3 linked regions of the Caenorhabditis elegans genome follow. The protein of the gene in region 3 interacts with the protein of the main gene of each other region in a pairwise test. Each region holds a gene or a part of one and is shown on either strand. Other genes may lie near its edges.

Region 1 (4,951 bases), about 10 Mb from region 3:
ACTTGAGCTTTAATGTTTTTTCTCGAAAAATTGACATTTTTGGGAAAGGGAAGGAATATAACACTTTCACTATGCGCCAGTTGGACCATTTTTTGTGAATTTTTTTATTTAAAAAATCCAATTTTTTCCAAATATTCGAATTTTTTAGATGCAACATGTCAACCGCAGGGCTGGTACCCACAAATATATGCTACAAAGGATACGTCTGCGGAGTGAAGCCCACTAGTCTAAATTCAACATTTTAATTTTATTTTTCAAACTTCCAGGTTCATAAACTGTTCGAGAAGCCCACAGAAGCATTTTTCTCGAGAGTTTCCGAATTCGACCTGCTAATTTTTGAAAGCAGTACCTGAATTATTGAAAACTTCTTATTAAGACTTCTAATTTTATTTTGCTATTCAAATTTCATATTTTCTAGAACTTTTCAACTTTTTGTCCGACTGGCTCAGTGGGATTTTGGGTGACTACCAATTTCACCACCTGGGTTCGAGTCCGCGCCTTGGCATATTTTTTTGTTTTAGTGTTATTTGGCTAATATCGACATTCTGAATCCGAATTTCAAGGTCCCATGCCTTAAAACTCAATGGGTTTCCTCCAAAATCAATATTCCATTGCAAAATCGTCCCTCGTCCCATATACTACTAAAATTGAAGTCAGCGTCTCGACTCTGTGCTCCCGAAAACTGAAATATGATCGCTTCGCCGCTTTCGCACGCTCCCCATCTCCCTATACTCTCAGAAATGAGAGGAAAATAAGGGAAGGGGGTAAAATCAACAAATAATATCGATTTTTTGAGAAGGTATAAAAGTTCGAAAAAATCACAAAGCAGTGTGGAAATGTCTAATTTTTGACCGAATTCGAACTCGGAAAGTCGAAATTTAGTAGAATAACACCAAAAAAAAAATTATGCCACATCGCGGACTCGAACCCCGGACCTCAGATTGGTAGCTGGCTAGAATCCCACTGAGCCACTCGTACACAAAAAGAAATTAAGTTTGAGCCGACCTAGCAAGTCTTTCTGGTTTTGAGAGTTGAAAATTCGAATTCAGGAGATTTGTATTATTCTGAGAACAGCAAAACAAAAATTCATGCCACAGTGCGGACTCGAACCCCGGTCGTAAGATTGGTAGCCGGCCAAAATCCCACTGAGCCATTCGGCCAAATTTTCAGAAAAACTTGAAAATTACGGTTTGAGCTGATTTTTCAGCAATTTCGATATATTTTTTTTTTCCAATTTTGAACTTGTTTTAAAGTTGTTCAAGCTATTGGAGACCAAGCTTCGAAGGGATATATATATATCCCCAAAATGTTGAAAATGTTATTACAAATAGTATATAAGTCAGAAATCCGTGTTCAGCAGGGCTTGTATAGTCAAACCAATAAATAAAAAAATTTATGACACAGTGCGGACTCGAACCCCGGTTGTCAGATTGGAAGCCCTCCAAAATCCCACTGAGCCATTCGAGCAAATTTTCAGAAAATCGAGGTTTGAGCTGATTTTTAAAAATTTTGAGCATTTTTTGGGACTGTTCAGCATATGTCTCATGTGTGCTAGGTGCAATGAGCTATTAAAATTTAAGCTTGATAGTTTATTTTCAATAAAAAGTTAAAAATTTGTATGTTAAAAATTCGTGTTCAGCAGGGCTTATATAGTCGAACCAACAAAGAAAAAAAATTATGCCACAGTGCGGAGTCGAACCCCGGTCGTCAGATTGGTAGCCCTCCAAAATCCCACTGAGTCACTCGTACAAAACTTTTTTTTCAAAATTAATTTTTCAGAATCCGAAAATAATGCGATTTTCCACCAAAAGGCGGAGCTCCGAGCAGACAGCCGACTGGCTCAGACATACGGTAGCTCAGGGGTGAGAGCTCCGAGAGCTCAGAGAGCCGGCAGAGAAAACGAGAGCACACACACACACACAAATACATCAGAGTCAGTCTCTCCCTGCTTCTGCGTGCCAGTTGCTCAAATTTTTGCTCAACAATTTCCAAATCTATATATCTGAAATTGTTCGCAATTCCTGAATCAAAAAAAAAATGCTTCCAGATTCTGAGGTGAGTTATATGTCGCTTCAGGGCGCCCCCGGGCGCCCGGTACCCCATCCCAAAAGTATCAAATATCGGCATGGTGATGAAACTGGAGAAAGTTCTGCGAGAAGGGTCTGTCTGTAAGATGAGCTCTTCCAAGACACCCCCCCCCCCCCCCCCCCCCCCCCCTCCATGTACCTCCTTTCCCCATTCAGTACCTAGACAGTTCTAGCTAACCTCTCCTACAATGTTCTCTGTATTTTGTGAGTTTTCTAAACCGTGAACTTTAATTTAAAAAACTCGAAAAATCGATATTTCTAATCTTAAAAATGTTCCTGAATGGCGCAGTGGGTTTTTGGACAGCTTCCGAGCAGAAGCCCGGGGTTCGAGTCCCCGCTGTAGCATTTATTTTTGTTTTTGTGTGGATGAGCTATATAAATGATTCTTGGCTTTAATTTCCTTGTAACCCAGAAAAAAAGCTCTCGGAGCTCAAAACGAGTAGAACTGCGAATTTTAATGGTACGGGGTTGGGGTTTCAGATAAAAATGTAGATTTTTAAGCTGAAATAAACTTTTTTCAGAGCTTTTACTCTTCATTTTTCGCAATTTCGAAAATTTGGTCCAAGTGGCGCAGTGGGATTTCGGATGACTTCCAATCTGACGACCGGGGTTCGAGTCCGCACTGTGGCACAATTTTTTCATTTTACTGTTTCTAGATTAATTTGAGTGCGCTGAGTTCAAATTTCTATCTTTTAAACTTCTAGGTTGAAGTTTTTTAGTAGAAAATTCCGAACTTTGTTGCAACTCGGAAAAATAAACAAATCAATAATTAGCGAAGTTTATAATCCACGTAAACAAATGTCTGGGTCACCTGGTGCTCAATGAGCACACTTATTTTTGATTTTCACTATTTTTCCAAAAAGATACATTTTTAACTAGGAACTTGCTCCGAATCGCCTTTTAAACTGACATTAATCAGAAAAATTATCAAAAATTATGATGTACATCCCTATTGTAAATTTTGGATTTTTTTTTTGGTCAATTTATGCGACTAGTTGATTTTAGGCACCCCTTAGTCTTTTTCCAATACCCAGTTGAGTCTAGATACCCCCTCACGCAACCATATTACATCATTATATAGCCATCATTAGCCAACTTGCAACAGTTGGGGGGACCCCCTGTGGTGACGGGATCGAATTCAGAGGTCTTGGGGCTCTTCGATGCACAATTTCTGTGGCAAAGCAGTAAAAAATCCAAAAATAAAATTTCGAAAATTTGGTGCAAGTGGCTCAGTGGGATTTTGGTGGGCTTCCAAGCAGAAGACCGGGTTCGAGTCCGCGCTGTGGCTTAATTTTTTTTTTTTGGTGTTTTAGACTAATTTGGGTATAGGCATGTCGAAAATTTTAGTCACGAGTCAGAAAATGGCTCAATGAGCATAAGAGATGAGTTTGAAAATTTCCTGGCGCTTATTTTTAAATTTTTAAAACCCTCGTAACTTTAAAACTAGAATAGCAAGAAAAAAGTTTCCAACCACAAAATTGTAGGAAATTTTCCAAGTAATATTTTGCTAGTTGACAACTTTCCTCGAACTATGCTCTCCACCGAGTTATGGTAGAAATCGCAACACCTGTTTGGTGGCGGGGAGCTCTGAGAAAACTCCCGCGGCTCTTTTCTTACCTGTTCGCCGGCGGTCACTTGAAACTAGATACCCTTATACCTTTTTTCCGCACCGGGCTCTTACTAAGTTTTAGGGCTTTTGGGGAACCCTCCGGGATTGATTCAAGTCAAATTTTTTTGGCCGGTTTTTATCAAAATTTTAATTTTTTCACTCATTACTTCACTGCCCCCCGGCCTAGTTATCACCTCCACTACCGTGTATTTGAACAACAGCGACATATGTAAAGCTCCTGTGCTACTGCTCGCCGAGCAAACAAATACAGATGGCATTGTTTGTGAAGCACCCCGTCCGACGCCTTGAAAGTAGTGAGGGAAGAAGAAGCTGAGAGCTGTATGTAAATGGAGTGGTGGCTCGGGTTTCGTCATTATTCCTGAGAACGGAAATTCGCAAGCTTTGGAGGGGTCCTGATGGGGTTCAGAAGTCTGTAAAAGCATTGAAAAAGAAAAAGAAAAAATATATGCCACAGCGGGGGTTCGAACCCGGGCCGTGAGATTGGTAGACGCCGAGAATCCCACTGAGCCATACGGTCAATTTTTTTGAAAATTTTGAAAATCGAGGGTTTTTGTTGGTTTGTAGGCAATTTCTCCAAATTTTGAGCTGGTTTTTAAAATATCCTGGGCTCAGTGAGCATTTCAAGATTTGATAAAAAATTCCCCGGTTTAGTATAAAAACACCTAAATAAAAATATATGCCACAGCGGGGGTTCGAGCCCTGGTTGTAACTTTGGTAGCCGCTGAAAATCGCACAGAGCCATTTGGACAACTTTTCTGAAAATTTTTAAAAATGAGGGATTTTTGCTGATTTTCAATTATTTTGTTAAGTTTTTTTTTTCAGTATATTAGCCTCATTTTTAGGGTATTCTAGGCTTAATGTACATCCGAATCAAGGGTGTCATTTTTCGATTTTTCGATTTTTTTGATTTTTTCGATTTTTCGATTTTTCGATGTTTTTCAGTGAAAATTTACTGTTTTGATTATCCTTCCCTGTGGGGGAACCCTTTTTGAATAGATATTTACAACCTCCTACAACGAAAAGGTTCAAAAATAAAACATTATCAGCTGTTTTGTAAGTTTATTTCAAAAATCGAAAAATTTTTCGATTTTCGATTTTTCGTTTTTTTCGGAAAATCGAAAAACGAAAAATTTTCGATTTTTCGAATTTGAAAAAACGAAAAATCGAAAATTTTTAATTTTTCGATTTTCTGGAAAAATCGAAAAACCGACACCCTTGATCCAAATTACAAGAA
Region 2 (7,678 bases), on a different chromosome or scaffold from region 3:
AAACCATCCGGCGATTGGTTTTCCATTTCGAATCAGCTCGCCTTCCCACCAGCCGGCTGCTGATTTTTCACGAATTTTCACAATTTCGCCAACTTTGATTCCCAATTGATTTGGCGCCGATGCAACAAAATCCACGACAACTTTAGCTTCACAGAGGACGGTTGGTGGAGCCGCTGGAGTTGGAGCTTGAGTTGGTGGAGTCGGATCCCCTGCCTGCTGGACTGATATCTCGACATAGTTGGCTGGGAAGATACCCTCACGTCCGTTGCAACGCCCTTTCCACCATTCATCGTTTCTGAAATTATTTTTTGATTTAAATCACTGAAAATTGATATTTTTGTTTTGGTGTCAGTTTTTCAGTTTTTAAGTAATTTTTTTTTGGCTAAAAAACAAGTTTTTTGGGTTTTTGGGGTTTTTTTTAATATGAAGTTTTTTTGGAAAAAAAAGAGTATTTCGGTTTTTTTTTGCAAAAATTGGATTTTGTCGGGCTTTTTTTTAATTTTGTGGAGAAATTAATTTTTTTGAGAAAATATGCTTTTTTTGGTTTTTAAATTTAATTTTTTTTCGGTAAAAATTGTGTTTTTTGGAAATTGTTTTTTTTTCAGGGTTTTTTTTGACGAAAATGACACATTTTTGGCAAAAGTAAGAAAAATTGTGCCTTTTTTGAAAAAATAGCTTTTTAGGTTTTTTTAATGTTAAAAATGACACTTTTGGATTTTTTCTGAAAAAATCGGTTTAAAACAAAAAAAGTTTTATTGGTAAACATGACGCGTGTTTGGTTTTTTTTTTTGGCAAAACTGAGTTTTATGATTTTTTTTCTGGGGAAAAATGTATTTTTTAGCTGTTTTTGTTGCAAAAATGGAATTTTTTTGGTGTTTTTGGCAAAACGACACATTTTTGGATTTTTTTCTGACAAAAATTAGACTTTTTTGAAAAAAAAAAGGTTTTTTTGGACAAGAAATAGTTTTTTGAGGTTACTTTGCCAAAAATAGGGTTTTCCTTGCAAAATTGGAAACAATTATTTTAAAAATTTTGGGCTTATTTGGTTCAAAATGTAATAAATTGATACCCCGAAACCTTTCGTTTAAGCATAATAATAATAGCGCAAGAATACGAAAAGCTATCAAAAAAATGAAAAAATTCAATTCCAAATGAGCTCCTGTCAAGAGCAGCGAGAGCTCCTCTCTCCACTTACTTCTCGAGCACTAGAATTGTGTCACCGACATGCAGTGCCAAATCTGTTGTCTCGACAGCTTCAAAATCGTAGATCACAGTGTAAAGTTGTTGTTGGGGGGCTGTTTCGGAGGCTTGTAATGTCACATCGGAAGGTACCACGTCGTATTGAGCTCCTGCTGCTGCTCCTGGAGCTCCTGCAGAAGCCTTCGAAGGAGACACAATCGGAGTCGTGGTGCTGGTGGTTGCTCCGACTTCTTTCACATAACTTTTCGGGAACCATCCAATTTCGCCGGCAGGATTTCGACCTTTCCATTTCATTTCTTGCTTTTCTAGTACCTGAAATTAATGTTATTAGTTCGAGTTAAGGTGTACCTTCAAAAATCTAAAAAAAATAGTCTGAAATTCAAGAAAAATCGTGAAAAGAAGAAATGGGAATAAAATCCTAAATTTTTTTTCAAATTTTTGGAAAAATTCCCCAGAAACCACGCTCATTTTTTTGCTGAAAAATAGGTTTTTTTGGGGTAAAAAAGGTTTTTTTTGTTGAAAATTTGGGTTCCTTTGTTGATAAAAATGGGTTTTTTTTTGGTAGAAAACAGGTTTTTTTTTAGAAAAAAGAGTTATTATGGGGAAAATGGTTTTTTTTGGGAAAAAAGGTTATTTTATAAATCATACAATTTAGCTGAAAGATAGATTAAAAATCGATTTTTTCACCGAAAATCCAATTTTTTTTTCAAAAATTCGTCAAAATCACATTTTCAAGCTGTTTTTGCAGGAAAATAGGCTGAAAACTCCTAAGAATTGGCTTAAAACTTCAAATTTTTCAAATTTTCTGCCGGAAAACTTGTAAAATCTCATTTTTTTCAGGTTCAAGCTCAAGAATTTCAGACAATTTTTGGATTTTTCGCAGCAAAATGCTCTCCACCTCAATTGTATCTCCTTTTGCAAATGACAAATCCTCCTCATTACGTGCTCTCCATTGGAATTGTGCAATACATTGAGATATTACTGCTGCTGCTGCTGGAGCACTTGAAGCAGGTGGAGCACCACCTTCTGTCAATCCCATTGCCGCTGCGATTTCCGCTTTCCGCGCCGCTTTCACTCCAATTTGATCTACTGATGAGCTCGGCGTCATGTTTGGTGGCATATTCTGAATAGGTGGATCACCGCCTGGAGTAGGTACTGCTGCGATTGCTTCGACGAATGCTTCTGGGAACCATCCGACTTTCTCACGAAGTTGACCGGCACGCCATCCTGGTTCAGCTGCATGGGATTGGAAGACGATTATGACGTCTCCTAGAAGAAAAATAAATAAAAATTAACTTTTTCTCGAATTTTTGCCTTTTTTTTGTCAAAAATGACACTTTTTGTTAAGTTTTTTCTGACAAAAATTGGTATTTTTTGGGAAAAAAAGGGTTTTTTTTTCACAAAAACGGGGTTTTTAGGTAAACATTGATTAGTGATGGTTTTTTTTGTTGCCAAAAACGAAAAAATCCAAACTTTTTGAAAAATTTCAAAATTTTTTTGAAAAAACTGCGGAAAAATAGTTCTTTTTTCCAATAATTTTTCGTAAAAATTTAAAAATTCCTGAATTTTGGACGTTTTCTCCTACAAATTTCAAAATTTTTGGAATCATTTTCAGCTCAGTTTGAGAATTTTTGAGTAAAATTCCTTGATTTTAGTGGAATTTTGCAATTTTTCAGTTTTTTTTTTCGAAAAAATTCAAATTTTCTGAAATTTTTCACATCTTTTATGCATTTAATTTGTTTTCCATGCAACTATTTCAAAAATATTAAATAAGTCATTTTAAATGAGAGATAAGAATAAAAAAATTGAAATTTTCTTTTTTTTTGGCTTTTTTTCTGGAAAAACTCTTAAAAATTTTAGATAAATTCCTTGATTTTAGTGGAATTTTGCAATTTTTCAGATTTTTTTTTGGAAAAATTTAAAAATTCCTGAATTTTATGCCAAACTTTTTCTCCTACGAATTCCGAAATTTCGAGCTTTTTCCGGAGAAGCTCGTAAATCTACACAACAAAAGGCCATTTAAAGGGACATATTGCTGTTCGGACAGCACCTGGTTCAAAACTGAGCTCATCCTCGGATCTTGCTTCAAACGCAAAAAGAGCTCGACACTTATAAGTGTCATGAATATTGAACGCCGATTGATCAACAGCACCCTTCGAATGAGCTGGCGCCTGAGCAATCTGAGCAAATGGATCCGCTGTCGACGTGGCACCGAAATCCGCGTCGAAACGTTGACTTGCATCGGTTTTATCGAATTCTCCGAATGCATCGTTGAAGTTTGCAGGGAATCCGTTGGTGGTAGTAGGAGCTGGAGCAGGAGCAGGAGCTGGAGCAGCTGAAGCTGGAGCAGATTTCGCTTCAAATTCCCCAATTTTGCTCCTGGCATGTGTCTGAGCATGAACCAGAAGCTCAAACGAATTTCGATATTCTTCTCGTTTTGCGACAAGTTTCGAATAAACATCAGTCTTATACTTTTCCTTATTCGTCTTTAAAATCTCCGTCTGATTATACGATTTCTCTTTTTCTGTGGATAATTCCAGAGCGGCATCTTCTATAGCTTTTCGAATAGCATCTCGTTTCCTTCGCAGTGCTTCTAGTTCACTTTTTCTCTGCGTTGTCTCCTTGTGAGCCGACTGTTTTTGTAGAAGCTGATGGCCGAGTTCTTGAGATTCGATAGCTGTCTGGAACTTTTTTGGGTAATTTGCATATAGATTAAACGCGTATTACCTTCTGATTAGTCTCTTGTAATTCTTTAATTCTCGCGACTTTCTCGTCTCTCGTAGATCTCATTCTCTCAATAAATCCAGTCACTTCTGCTACTGCTTCTTTGGCTTTTCCAATGTCCACTTCAACATCGATAACCTTCTCATCAAGTGCTTGTAATTGAAATTGCAGCGTTTTTTCTCGTTGCTGACGTTGTGCAAGACGCTCGTTCTCTTGTTGCTTCTGGTTCTGAAATTAGGGATTTAAATTTGGTTTTTTTTTATCATGAGTAAATAAAATTTCTGTGTTCCAAAAGTTCAATTTTCAAAAGAAAAACTCAAAAAATCGCCTAGAATCCACATAAAAATTCCATTTTTTCTGTTCAGGCATCTGTACCTGCATCTGTTTAACTTTCGCCTTCTCCATTTGAACTTTTCTCATTTTCTCGTCCTCCTCTCTGCGTCTCTCCATCTCTAGCCTCCGCTTCTTCTCCTCTTCCTCCCGTTGAGCTTCAATTATTCTCTGTCTTTCTAGTTCAGCTTGCCGCTCAACTTCAGCCTGTCGTTCCTTTTCTTGTCTTTCTCTATTTTTCTTCGCTTCTTCTTCTCTCTCTTTCTTCTCTACTTCTGCTCGTCTTCGTTGCTCCTCTTCTTCAAGAACTCTACGTCGTCTCTCCAGTTCTGCCTGACCTTTAGATAGGTTATCCTGTCGCTTATCTTCAAAAGTTTTCGGAGCTGGTGACTTTTGTGGTGGCTCCGCTCCTGGTTCGAGTTCAGGGGTATTGTTGGCTGATCTTGATGAGATTCCGCACATCCGGACAAGTTCCAGCGGGGTTATTTTTGGAAGCGCGAATCCACTCTGAAAAAAAAATTTTTTTAAGTTTTTCAGCGGAAATTTTTATGGTGTTTCATGATTTTAGGGTATTTTCCGATTTTCGTACAGAAAAATTTGAAATTTTGAGATTTTTCAGCGTTTTAACATGAAATTTTGCTGAAAAAAACAAGCAAAACGTTGAAAAATCCTGTAAAATTCACTGAAAAACTATAATTCGTGAAGAAAATACAACCGTGCGGCAGTGTTGCGAAAACTCGCGCCGCATGTTGCAAAGTGGGAGGAGCGTCCACGTGGCTTGACTTTTTATTTTGAAATTCCAAGTTTTTGACAAATAAAATTGAAAATATTCCTTATTTTTGTTGAAAAAACATGAAAAATACAATATTTTCAGATGGAAAGAACCTTTTTCTACATTTTTATATCAATTTTAGATCAGAAAAGTTGGATTTTCATGGAAAAAGTGCAATTTTTGAATAAAGAGCTTCTGGCCGGTAACAAAACACATACTTTGAACATTTCAATCATATACTGAGAAATCGCATACTCATCCACTGATAGCTTTCCATCCTTATTCACATCTGACAAAAACCAGATATGCGCGAGAACATTGGTAGGAAGGCCTGAAAGCCCGAGAGCACTCCGTCCGACTTGTGAGCTCAGGGAGCCCAGACGTTCCTTGTCGAGAGCATTAAACAATTGAGAATATTTTAATTTATTGTGGTGAGGAATCGCCCAGTTTTCCAGCTGCCGGCCTTCGAAGACATTGCGATCATTATTCAAAGGGCTTCCAGCTGAAATCGAGTTGTGTCTGCTAGATGGAGTTCCGGCAATCGAAACCGGTGCAGATGGGATGTATGACTGCGACATTCGACGATCAATGGCCGGTGGAAGAGTTTGTGAGTAGTCTACACTGCCATGCCGGCTTCCAGGCCAGGTTGGTGGAGCATTTCTGGCGGGAACTACCAGCAGGGAAGGCGGAAGTTGCGGAGGAATCGGAATTCCGGCAAGACAATTCAGAGCAAGTCGCATCGCGATAGAGTATTCACGAATATCGAGCCGGCCGTCTTTATCCAAGTCTGACAGCGCCCAGATCTGGAAATTGTTTGAATAAAAACATTTTTTTTTTTAAAGTTTAATATCAACCTGAGAAAGCACTTGCGTTGGCAGATTGCTGCGCATTAGTGCATTTCGTGCAGTGACCGCATCCATAAACGGTTGTCCTCCGGTTAATTGGCCGAACATTGCGAAATTCTTCTGATATTCGGCATCGGAAACTTCCCAAGGATTTGTCATCTGGAGAACAGGGGATTTTTCGACAAAAAATGGGAATTTCGCAACAAAAAAGGGAAAAAACGAGCCATATTTTTCTAATTTAACTGGAAATTTATGCGAAGAATCAGCGAAAATGATGAAAAAACACATGTTTTTGGGCAAACAATAGATTTTTTTGAGCCGCTCCGCTCGCCAGCTGCGTCGCGGTCGTGGCCGTGGCCTAGGTTCCCTCTCGGCCATTTCTGTAAAAATTGGCCGCGGCGCGGCGCGGCCGGCGAGCGAGGCGGCTCAATAAAATGTAATTTTTTGGCTAAAATTCGTGATTTTTCCCTAATTTAGCTGGAAATTTCTATGTAAACTTCCCACGGATTTGTCAATTGGGGGTTTTTCGATTAAAAACGCTAAAAATGCGAATTTCGCAACAAAAAGAGAAAATGCGCCGAAATTTCTGTAAATTTGGATTCAGGAACTGAGAAATAAGAAGAAATAAGAAAGAGGCCAAGCGCCGCCGAAAGCTTATCGATTTTTGCGTGCCCCAAAAGAGGAGTGGTCCCCGAGAGCGCGCGGCGAGAGATGCAAGAGACGCAGAGAATTTTAAAGGAATCAAAAACCCCTTTTTTATATATTTAAAAAAATCAATGTTTTTTTTTTCATTTAAAACTTTGCATTTTAAGAACAAATTTTAGTTTTAGAGTGAAAAATCTCGTATTCTTGAGTTTTCTCCAAATAATTTTGAGCTCCAATTGATTTTTAAATGTTCTTTCAGCCTTGGTGCATGAATTAATCGGTATAATCGCGGAAAATTGAAGAGAAATTCACTTAAATTTCAACTTATTTATTAATCTCTGGTCATGGGAGAAAAAAAGAAAAATAGAGAAAACGCTAGAAAAACGCGCGCGCTCACCTTGCCGACGCTCGCCCCGCCCACAAAAGCGTGCCTCGTTGCGTTTTCGAATTTAGCAGGGCAGTTGGTTATTATTTCCATTTTCTATCTGTTTCAGGTTCGCAGTTTGTTTTTTGCATTGAATTCTTGATATTTTGAGTTTTACGTTGTATTCTGAAGTATTTCCGTCAGAATTTGTGTTTAAAAATCGTAATTCTCAGGGTTTTCCCGCTGAAATTGAATTTTTCGTCAAAAATCATTTTTTTTAGTGAATCCCAATGTCGTATGGTGACGGGCTCTCCGGAGCCGAGTACCTGGCCTCAATCTATGGTACTGAGAAGGATAAAGTCAATTGCTCGTTTTTCTTCAAGGTTTGTTGTGGATTTCTGTGAAAAAATTCAATAATTAAATAATTTTTGCAGACAGGAGCCTGCCGCCACGGAGACAAATGCTCCAGAGCCCATCATACACCGACATTCTCGCCAACAGTTGTGCTCAAAAACTTCTACCACAATCCGGTAGTGGATGTCCGTCAGGCGGATGCTTTCGATAAAGTCGGCAAGCGGAATGATCAGGAACAGCGCTATTTTGACGATTTCTACGAGGAGGTTTTTGTGGAGATGGAGCGAAAATATGGAGAAGTGGAGGAGATCAACGTTTGTGAGAATATCGGAGAACACATGGTCGGAAACGTATACGTCAAATTTATGAAGGAAGAGGACGCCGAGAAAGCAAAGAATGATTTGAATAATCGATGGTGCGTAAGCTGAAGCTGCTGTGTTGATA
Region 3 (7,563 bases):
ATGAGTACTGTAGCGCTTGTGTCGATTTACGGGCTCGATTTTTAAAATAATTTATTTAACGATAAAATATCAAAATTAATGTAAGAAAAAAAAGAGAAAATATCACGAAGAAACGTAGGAAAAACGAGCCCCGTAAATCGACACAAGCGCTACAGTACTCATTCAAAGAATTACTGTAGTTTTCGCTACGAGATATTTTACGCGTCAAATATGTTGCGCAATACGCATTCTCAAAATTTTGTTTTCCCGTAATATCCAAGAATGCTGAATTTTCATAACAATAAAAATAAAAACTCATTGTCAATAGATCCAGTGTTTATTTATCTGTCTAACCGTCTAAAACTCTAACTTTTCAGTTGACTCTCGCTCGATAGGTATCATTTTCATTAAAATGTTAATGTTTATAGTATTCTTTCCATACAATTTATGTGCCAACCACCTCTTCTTTTTTGCATTGAATCCCCCGATGGCGTCATCCTTCTCGTCCTCACCATTTGGTGTGTCTGTGTCTCTCCGTCCTATCCACTATCTTTCATCCAGATTCCCGGTTTTCCCGAGAAAAAGTGAGAGAGAGAAGAGGCTACTGCGCGGCGACACTGGCTGCGGACACCCTCACTCCTCTACTTGTCTCCATCGATTTTCGCTGGTTCGTCGAAGCCTCGTCGCCAACACAACTTCTTCTTCTTTTTCGTCCTCTTCTTTTCTGCCACACGCTTGCACAGCTTCTTCTTCTCATTTTACGCTGTCTACTTTTTTCGGAGGGGCCATACCCCCACACACAGCTCCTTTTATTTGGCAGTTTTGGCATTTTTGAGGAAAAGTTCTGATAAAATGTATGAAATGACGTTTATTTTTGTGCTTTCCAGTTTAATCTTTTGTTGAACTTGATCGCAACATAAATTTATGTTTCGAAATCTCTCTCTCTTTTTTGGCAAATCCCTGCGGAAATGAGAAAAATTTGAAAAAGAATTGATGATTCAGAATTGGAATTTTTATTTGTATTTATTTTTTTGAAAAAAAAAACAATTTAACTTGCACTTTTATTCTTCAGAGCCAAAAAAGAAATGGCTCAAAAATAGAAAATGATCATTTTTAATCAATAATTGTAAATACCGTACTTCATCTGAAGGCGCAAGCGGTTAATTCATTCCTTGAGTCTCACCACGAATACCGTAGTTACATTTAAAGGCGCAGGCCTCGACGAGTGTTTGTAAGCGCTTTTTTTTAACTTTCAGAGATTTTATTTTTTCGTCATTTTTTCCAAAAACAAGGAAATCAATTCAGTTTTTGATTGAATATGTTTCGAAAAAAGAAAGAACTGTCAATCACACAAATTCACATCAATTTCCACTCGAAAAACGGCACAAAACGATGTGTTTGGAAATGTTCTTTGGCACAAAAATCAATAAAATTGCCAAACTCTTTTGTGATTGTGGTTCCTGCATCTCTCCGTTTCCCCCAATTTACCTGATCACTTTCACGTTCTTCCGTAACTGCTGACGCATTGAATGCACCTGATTTTGTTTGCTTACTGCAGGTAGACCGACGCCAACCCCCCTTGCTGCTCGACATGCAGACTATCGAGAAAGCGCTGCATCAACCGATGCCTTTCACAACCGGCGGGCAGACTATTTCAGACCGGTAAGCGATTTTTCTTTTCGATTTCTTGTTTTAAGTTCGAATTTTCAAGAACAAAATTGTTCTAAATTCAAAATAAAAGTGTATGTTTTCAAAAATTTCAAAAAATCAGTGTTAAAATGTATAAAATAATTTTCAGATTGACAGCTGCAAAGCACTCTTTGGCTGGAAGCCAACTTGGCAAGACAATATGCAAGGCGACTACCGAAGAAGTTATGGCCCCGAAGAAAAAGCATTTGGATTGTTAGTTCTTGATTTTTTTAAAGCAAAAATCTGAAATTCTGCATGTCACAGCTGTGGGAAAATTGATTTTTAATTAATTATTGTCCTGGTTTGAGTTTGTCGCTTAAATTTGCTGATTTTTCACTTAATTTTGTTGATTTAGCCACATTTAGAGCTAAATTTGGTTGCAAAATAAATCAAACATTATGTAAAATTCAATTTCCAGCAGCTGCAAAGTAGGCAATTAGGAAATTTTTCGCTGAAATTAGCTCTCGAAATTAGTTTTTTTTGCCACAGGTTGAGTATACGAATATAATTCCAGACCTCCTTCACTGCACAAATGAGCCAAATGTTTCGATTCCATCAATGGCCAATCTTCTAATCGAACGGACTCAAAATCCAAATTGGACCGTCGTTTACAAGGCTCTCATCACAATTCACAACATTATGTGCTACGGAAATGAGCGATTTTCGCAATATCTAGCCTCATGTAACACGACTTTCAATTTGACCGCGTTCGTGGATAAGGTTGGAGGCGCCGGCGGATATGATATGTCTACACATGTCAGACGGTACGCAAAGTACATTGGCGAGAAGATTAATACTTATCGAATGTGTGCATTTGATTTCTGCAAGGTATGTTGGAGAATATATTCTCTAAATTCAAAAAAAAAATTAAAAGCTAAGTAAATAAAGTAAATTTGTGGCTTTAAATGGCAGAATATAGATCGAATATAACTGTAAAAATTATAATTTTGCAAAAATTGAAAAAAAAAAAACGATAATTATTTTAATTTAAAATCTTGGTATTGCTTTTATTGTCAGTGTTTCAAAAAATTTTCCTTTAAAAATGTGAAATTATCGATTTTTAGGCCTTTTGATATTTTTCTTTCTGATAATATAGTTTTTATCAATTAAATTTGTCTGAAAATTTACAAGCTGTTTTTCATATCAAATTTTTTTTAAATCATGAAAACCCAATCAGCATTGCAAAAAACGCGGGAATTCAAAAAGATTTTTTGCAAACTTGAAAAAAATCATCAAAAATGTTATAAATTTTTTAACAGTTATTTAAAGCAATTTTTTTTTGACTCTACTAATTGACGAAATATGAAATTTTCAGGTGAAACGCGGTCGTGAAGATGGGCTTTTGCGTACAATGCACACTGACAAGTTGCTCAAAACAATTCCAATTCTTCAAAATCAAATCGATGCACTTTTGGAGTTTTCAGTGACCACTTCAGAGCTGAATAATGGAGTTATCAATTGCTCATTTATTCTTCTTTTCCGTGATTTGATTCGATTATTTGCTTGTTATAATGATGGAATTATTAATGTGCTTGAAAAGTACTTTGATATGAACAAGAAGCAGTGTCGTGATGCTTTGGATACTTATAAGGTAAAAAAATACTTTTTTTTTCAATTTAAAAAAAAAAAGAGGTCTTTGAAACTTAATTTTCCAAATTTTCAGACATTTTCAGCACAACAAGTTTACATAAACTTTGAATTTTCGAATTTTATGCAGATTTTAGTTTTTTTTTTGCGGGAAAAAGTTATGAAAATTTGATAAATGATTCTTAAATTCAATTATAAAAAATATATCCTGTTTGCGCGGGAATTAAAAAATAATTCAGATTTTTCTAATGTTTTTTTTCAAAATAAAAAAAATTGAACATTTCAGAAAGTTACAAAAAACCGATTTAATCGGAAAAATCGGTTAAAAATTTTTATGATATTTTTTTCAATTTTGTAAAATAAAATCTGGCTTTTTGATTTTTTAATTTTCGGATTTTATGCAGATTTTTTTTTTTTTTTCAATTTAAGAAGCTTCGATGTCAAAAATTAAGAAGAACACAAAAATATTAAAAATTTCATTTCCCTAAAAACTAATAATTTTCAAAAATTTTGCAGTCCTTCCTCACCCGACTCGACAAAGTTGCCGAATTCCTTCGCGTCGCCGAATCCGTCGGAATCGACCGTGGAGAGATTCCAGATTTGACACGTGCTCCAGCGAGTCTTCTCGAAGCACTTGAAGCTCATCTCATCCATCTCGAAGGAGGAAAAGCTCCACCACCAACTCAACAACATGTTGCACCACATCAATTCACCACTGGATTCGCATTTTCTCAACAACCACAACCGGCACTTGGTGACGCTGAACGACAACGGTATATTGAGTTGGAACAAGAGAGATTGAGACAGTTTGAAGATCAGAAGAAATCGATTAATTCTGCAAATCCATTCGCAAATGATGTCGCTTCGGCTGCACCTGCTCCAGCTACATCAGCTGCTCAGCCGGATCTTTTGGATATGTTCCAATCATCGGCAGCTCCAGCTCCTCAAACGGCTGATGTGACGAATCCATTTGGGAACTTTGCAGCTCCAAGTGCCTTCCCAACGAATGGTACGTTGAAATTTTCCGAAATTAAAGGAATTGGCCTCAGAAAAAGATCGAATTTCATAAGGAGACTTTTCAAAAAATTTAACAAAATTTTTTATGCCATAGGAAAATTGAAAAATTGAAAAAAAAATATTTTTTAAATAAAATTATGCTGGTTAAAAAAAAAACATAATTGTCTTCTAAAAAGAATAAAAATTGCCAAAATTTTAGACTACTTTACGATAAATTTTTTTTACGGTTTTCAGGGAAAATTGAAAAATTGAAGATCGAAAAATCCAAAAAAAAATTTAGAAACTTTTTTTAATAAAATTTTGTTCAAGTTACTTTGTAAAAACCATTTCAAAAACATCTATTTTTATTCTGAAAATATGAAAAATCGCCAAAATTTAAGATTTTTTCGAAAAAGTAGAAAAAAAATCGAAATATCGAAATTTTTTTCTCTCTCATATCGAATTTTTTTTCTCTCGTTCTTTTAAAAAAATGTTTCCAGAGAAAATCGAAAAAATGTTTTTAAAATTTACAAAACAATTTGTTTTTATAAAATTTTTTATGTTGATTTAAAAAAAAACAAAAAAAATCTGAAAAATCGAAAAATTTCCGATTTTCGTTTTTTTTTCAATTTTCTTCCTAATCATGCCAACTTTCATGTGCTTCTGCGGCCGGAAATTAATTTTTATTTGATTATTTCTCCATTTCGGTTACTTTTGTCACTTATCCTACGGTTTTTCCGTTAATTTAGCCTCATTTTAAGCCGATGGCTGCTAAATTTCGTTTAATGTACCTAAATCGATGAAAAATATGCAGAATAGGCTTGAAAAATCGGGGATTTTAGCTGAAATTAAGCTATTTTGAACAGTCATGAAAATAAATAATTTTTTGAAATGTCTCGTTATGAAATTCTTTTTTTTTGTTGGTAATTTTGAATATTTTTAAAAAATCAGAAAAAAATATTTCGCCTTAAAATTTAATTGCTTCACTAACATTTAACCCTTTGTTTCCACAATCTATGTTTCTCTCAAATCTTCCTTTGTTTTTTTTTTCATTTCACCTATGTTTTAGTGCCACCACCAGCAGCACACTCGGCTCCATTTGGAGTTCAACCAGCACCGCAACATTCAGCTGCACCATTCTATGCGAACCTTCATCAAGCTCCTCCAATGCAATCGCAAGCTCCAAATGGTGAGTTGTGGCGTTGTGTGTGTGTGTGTTGATTTGCATGTGTGGTTTTTTTTGCTTGGAAAATAATAATTTTTTAACTTAATAATTGGGGAAAAAAATAAAAAATTAATCGAAAAAATTATTAAAAATGCGCTGAAATATCGGTAAAAATAAGAAAAAAAGATTTTTAAAAAATCGGGGAAAGTCGAAAATATTTCCGAAAAATTAGAAAACGAAAATTGTCGTTTTTTCTATATTTTATAAAAAAAATATTATAGGCGGAATTTTTTTGTTGAAAATTGTAAATTGACACTTTAATAAATTTTGAAAAAAAAATTTTTTTTTACATAAAATTCAATTTTCGATATTTCTATATTTACCTAGGAATTTTTCAAAAATTAAAAAAAAATATCAAAAAATCGGATAATTCATTTATTTTTCCTCTAAAATACTCCAAAAAGTTGTTAAAAACTCGAAAGTTTTAGATTTTTTCAAATTAAACATTTAAATTTTCTCTTAAAAAAACGTATACTATAATATCAAAAATTGAAATTTTACGTTTTTCAATCTTTAAAAAAATATTTCCAATGTGCCTCTGAAAACGCCAAAAAACGTTTAAAAAATTATCTTTTCGATTTAAATTTTTTAGAAAAGCGCTTTTAAAAAATTCTAAAAACCGAAATTTTCGATTTTCAACCTCTAAACAAAAATTCTCAATTTATTTTTTTCCGGGATTTTTCAATTTTGGCTTCTTCTTTTAAAATAACTTTTAAAAAGCATGTTTTGGTGGTTCTGAATATTTTCTCCTCCGTCTTGACGTCGTCATCTTCTCGTTGTACCTCTGGAAATTAGAAATATACCAAATAGAAAGTGTGGCAATTTAAGAGCCCGAAAACCCATTTATAACTGCTCCCGCGGCACCACAAATGCACAATGCGCCGCCCGTCCCACCACCACCAGCATCTCAGGGGGCTCCAGCTCCTATCAATCCTTTTGCTGATCCTTCAGCTACTGCTGCTTCTTCAGCACAACCGTTTGGGGATCCAGGTGAATTAACTCACACTTACTTACCTTTCGATTTGTTGCTAAAAATACACGGCTTTCTTTTTTTATAACAAAAGGGAATTTTTTCTGAAATATACTAAAACTGGTCCGACGCGACCAAATTTAGCATCGAGACTTCTCCAAAAATTTATAAATTTACAGAAAAAAGAGCCAAGTTTCGTTAAAATTTGAAATTTCTCAGATTTGTTTCAGTCGTAGCAGCTGGAATACATTTTTATTGAAAAATCATCTTTCATCGCATGTTTTGGGAGTTTGAACCGTCCGAAATATGCAATAGAGGGAGATTTTTCATTTAAAAATTGTATTCCAGCCGAATGAAACGATTCTGGGAAATTTTAAATTTTAACGAGAAAAGTAAATTTTTGAGAAGTTTCAGTCTATTTCCGCAAAAAAAAACTCATTAACTCTACTTCAACATTAATACAGTTTTACAGTTTTTCATAACCACCCCACATTTCAGATGACTTCAAATTTGAACAAAAAAATGTAAAAATTAAAATATTAATTCCAGGTCATCAAGCTGCTCCATTCGGATATCCAAATGCTCATCCAGATGATCTTGCTCGAATGACTGCACAAATGTCATTGAATCAGCAGGGGTAGGATTATTTTTGTCAATTTTAATGCAATTTTTGTTGCAATTTTTTTCGTGACTCACGACACGAACGAACCACTAGGGCTAGATTATACATATTACCTTTTACAAAATTTCACAATTTCTAAAGAAAATCGAAAAATCTTGCCTAAAAATATCTTAGTTACAGAGCACCGGCCGGCTGGAATACCACAACTTCTGCCGTCTCAAACAATCCGTTTGGAGCAACGTCGGCTCCTCAGCCAATGTATACGGCTCCAATGGGAATGTATCAACAACCATTTGGTGCTCAGCCAATGTGGAATCCTGCGATGGGTTAGTTTATCGAAAAAACGAGGAATTTTTTTAAAATTAGAATCTCGGAACAATTGAATTTTTATCTAATTTTTCACAATATTTCAAGATTATTTTAAATGTGAAAATCGATTTTGAAGCATTTTTTGTTAATTTTTGCTTCATTTTCGAAATATGCTCATACACCTAT

What was found. Proteins that work in one complex are often made in the same cells at the same time.
Region 1: the proteins of unc-11 (region 3) and eya-1 interact in binary tests that used the Caenorhabditis elegans proteins (3 or more experiments, as listed by UniProt).
Region 2: the proteins of unc-11 (region 3) and itsn-1 interact in a two-hybrid assay, tested with the Caenorhabditis elegans proteins (3 studies listed by BioGRID).

What each region holds. Positions count from the first base shown.
Region 1 is NC_003279.8:14,228,329-14,233,279, reverse strand, and holds the start of eya-1 (Protein phosphatase eya-1), read left to right. Parts: upstream 1-1,919; 5' UTR 1,920-2,037; coding exon 2,038-2,055; intron 2,056-2,249; exon of another isoform or gene 2,250-2,291; intron 2,292-4,178; exon of another isoform or gene 4,179-4,248; intron 4,249-4,951. Other genes in the region: clec-114 (PAN-3 domain-containing protein), read left to right, coding at 149-245. UniProt on the Caenorhabditis elegans protein: Tyrosine protein phosphatase. Acts probably as a transcription regulator in the embryonic and postembryonic development of several tissues including pharynx, vulva and gonads. Required for the development of anterior tissues during late embryogenesis.
Region 2 is NC_003282.8:17,118,036-17,125,713, reverse strand, and holds the start of itsn-1 (Intersectin-1), read right to left. Parts: upstream 6,033-7,678; 5' UTR 6,031-6,032; coding exon 5,881-6,030; intron 5,830-5,880; coding exon 5,245-5,829; intron 4,762-5,244; coding exon 4,300-4,761; intron 4,153-4,299; coding exon 3,928-4,152; intron 3,888-3,927; coding exon 3,251-3,887; intron 2,470-3,250; coding exon 2,099-2,469; intron 1,513-2,098; coding exon 1,196-1,512; intron 296-1,195; coding exon 1-295. Other genes in the region: uaf-2 (Splicing factor U2AF 35 kDa subunit), read left to right, coding at 7,171-7,263, 7,315-7,649.
Region 3 is NC_003279.8:3,799,712-3,807,274, reverse strand, and holds the start of unc-11 (Phosphatidylinositol-binding clathrin assembly protein unc-11), read left to right. Parts: upstream 1-1,535; 5' UTR 1,536-1,570; coding exon 1,571-1,641; intron 1,642-1,777; coding exon 1,778-1,881; intron 1,882-2,182; coding exon 2,183-2,496; intron 2,497-2,983; coding exon 2,984-3,259; intron 3,260-3,771; coding exon 3,772-4,264; intron 4,265-5,320; coding exon 5,321-5,440; intron 5,441-6,304; coding exon 6,305-6,466; intron 6,467-6,995; coding exon 6,996-7,083; intron 7,084-7,242; coding exon 7,243-7,394; intron 7,395-7,563.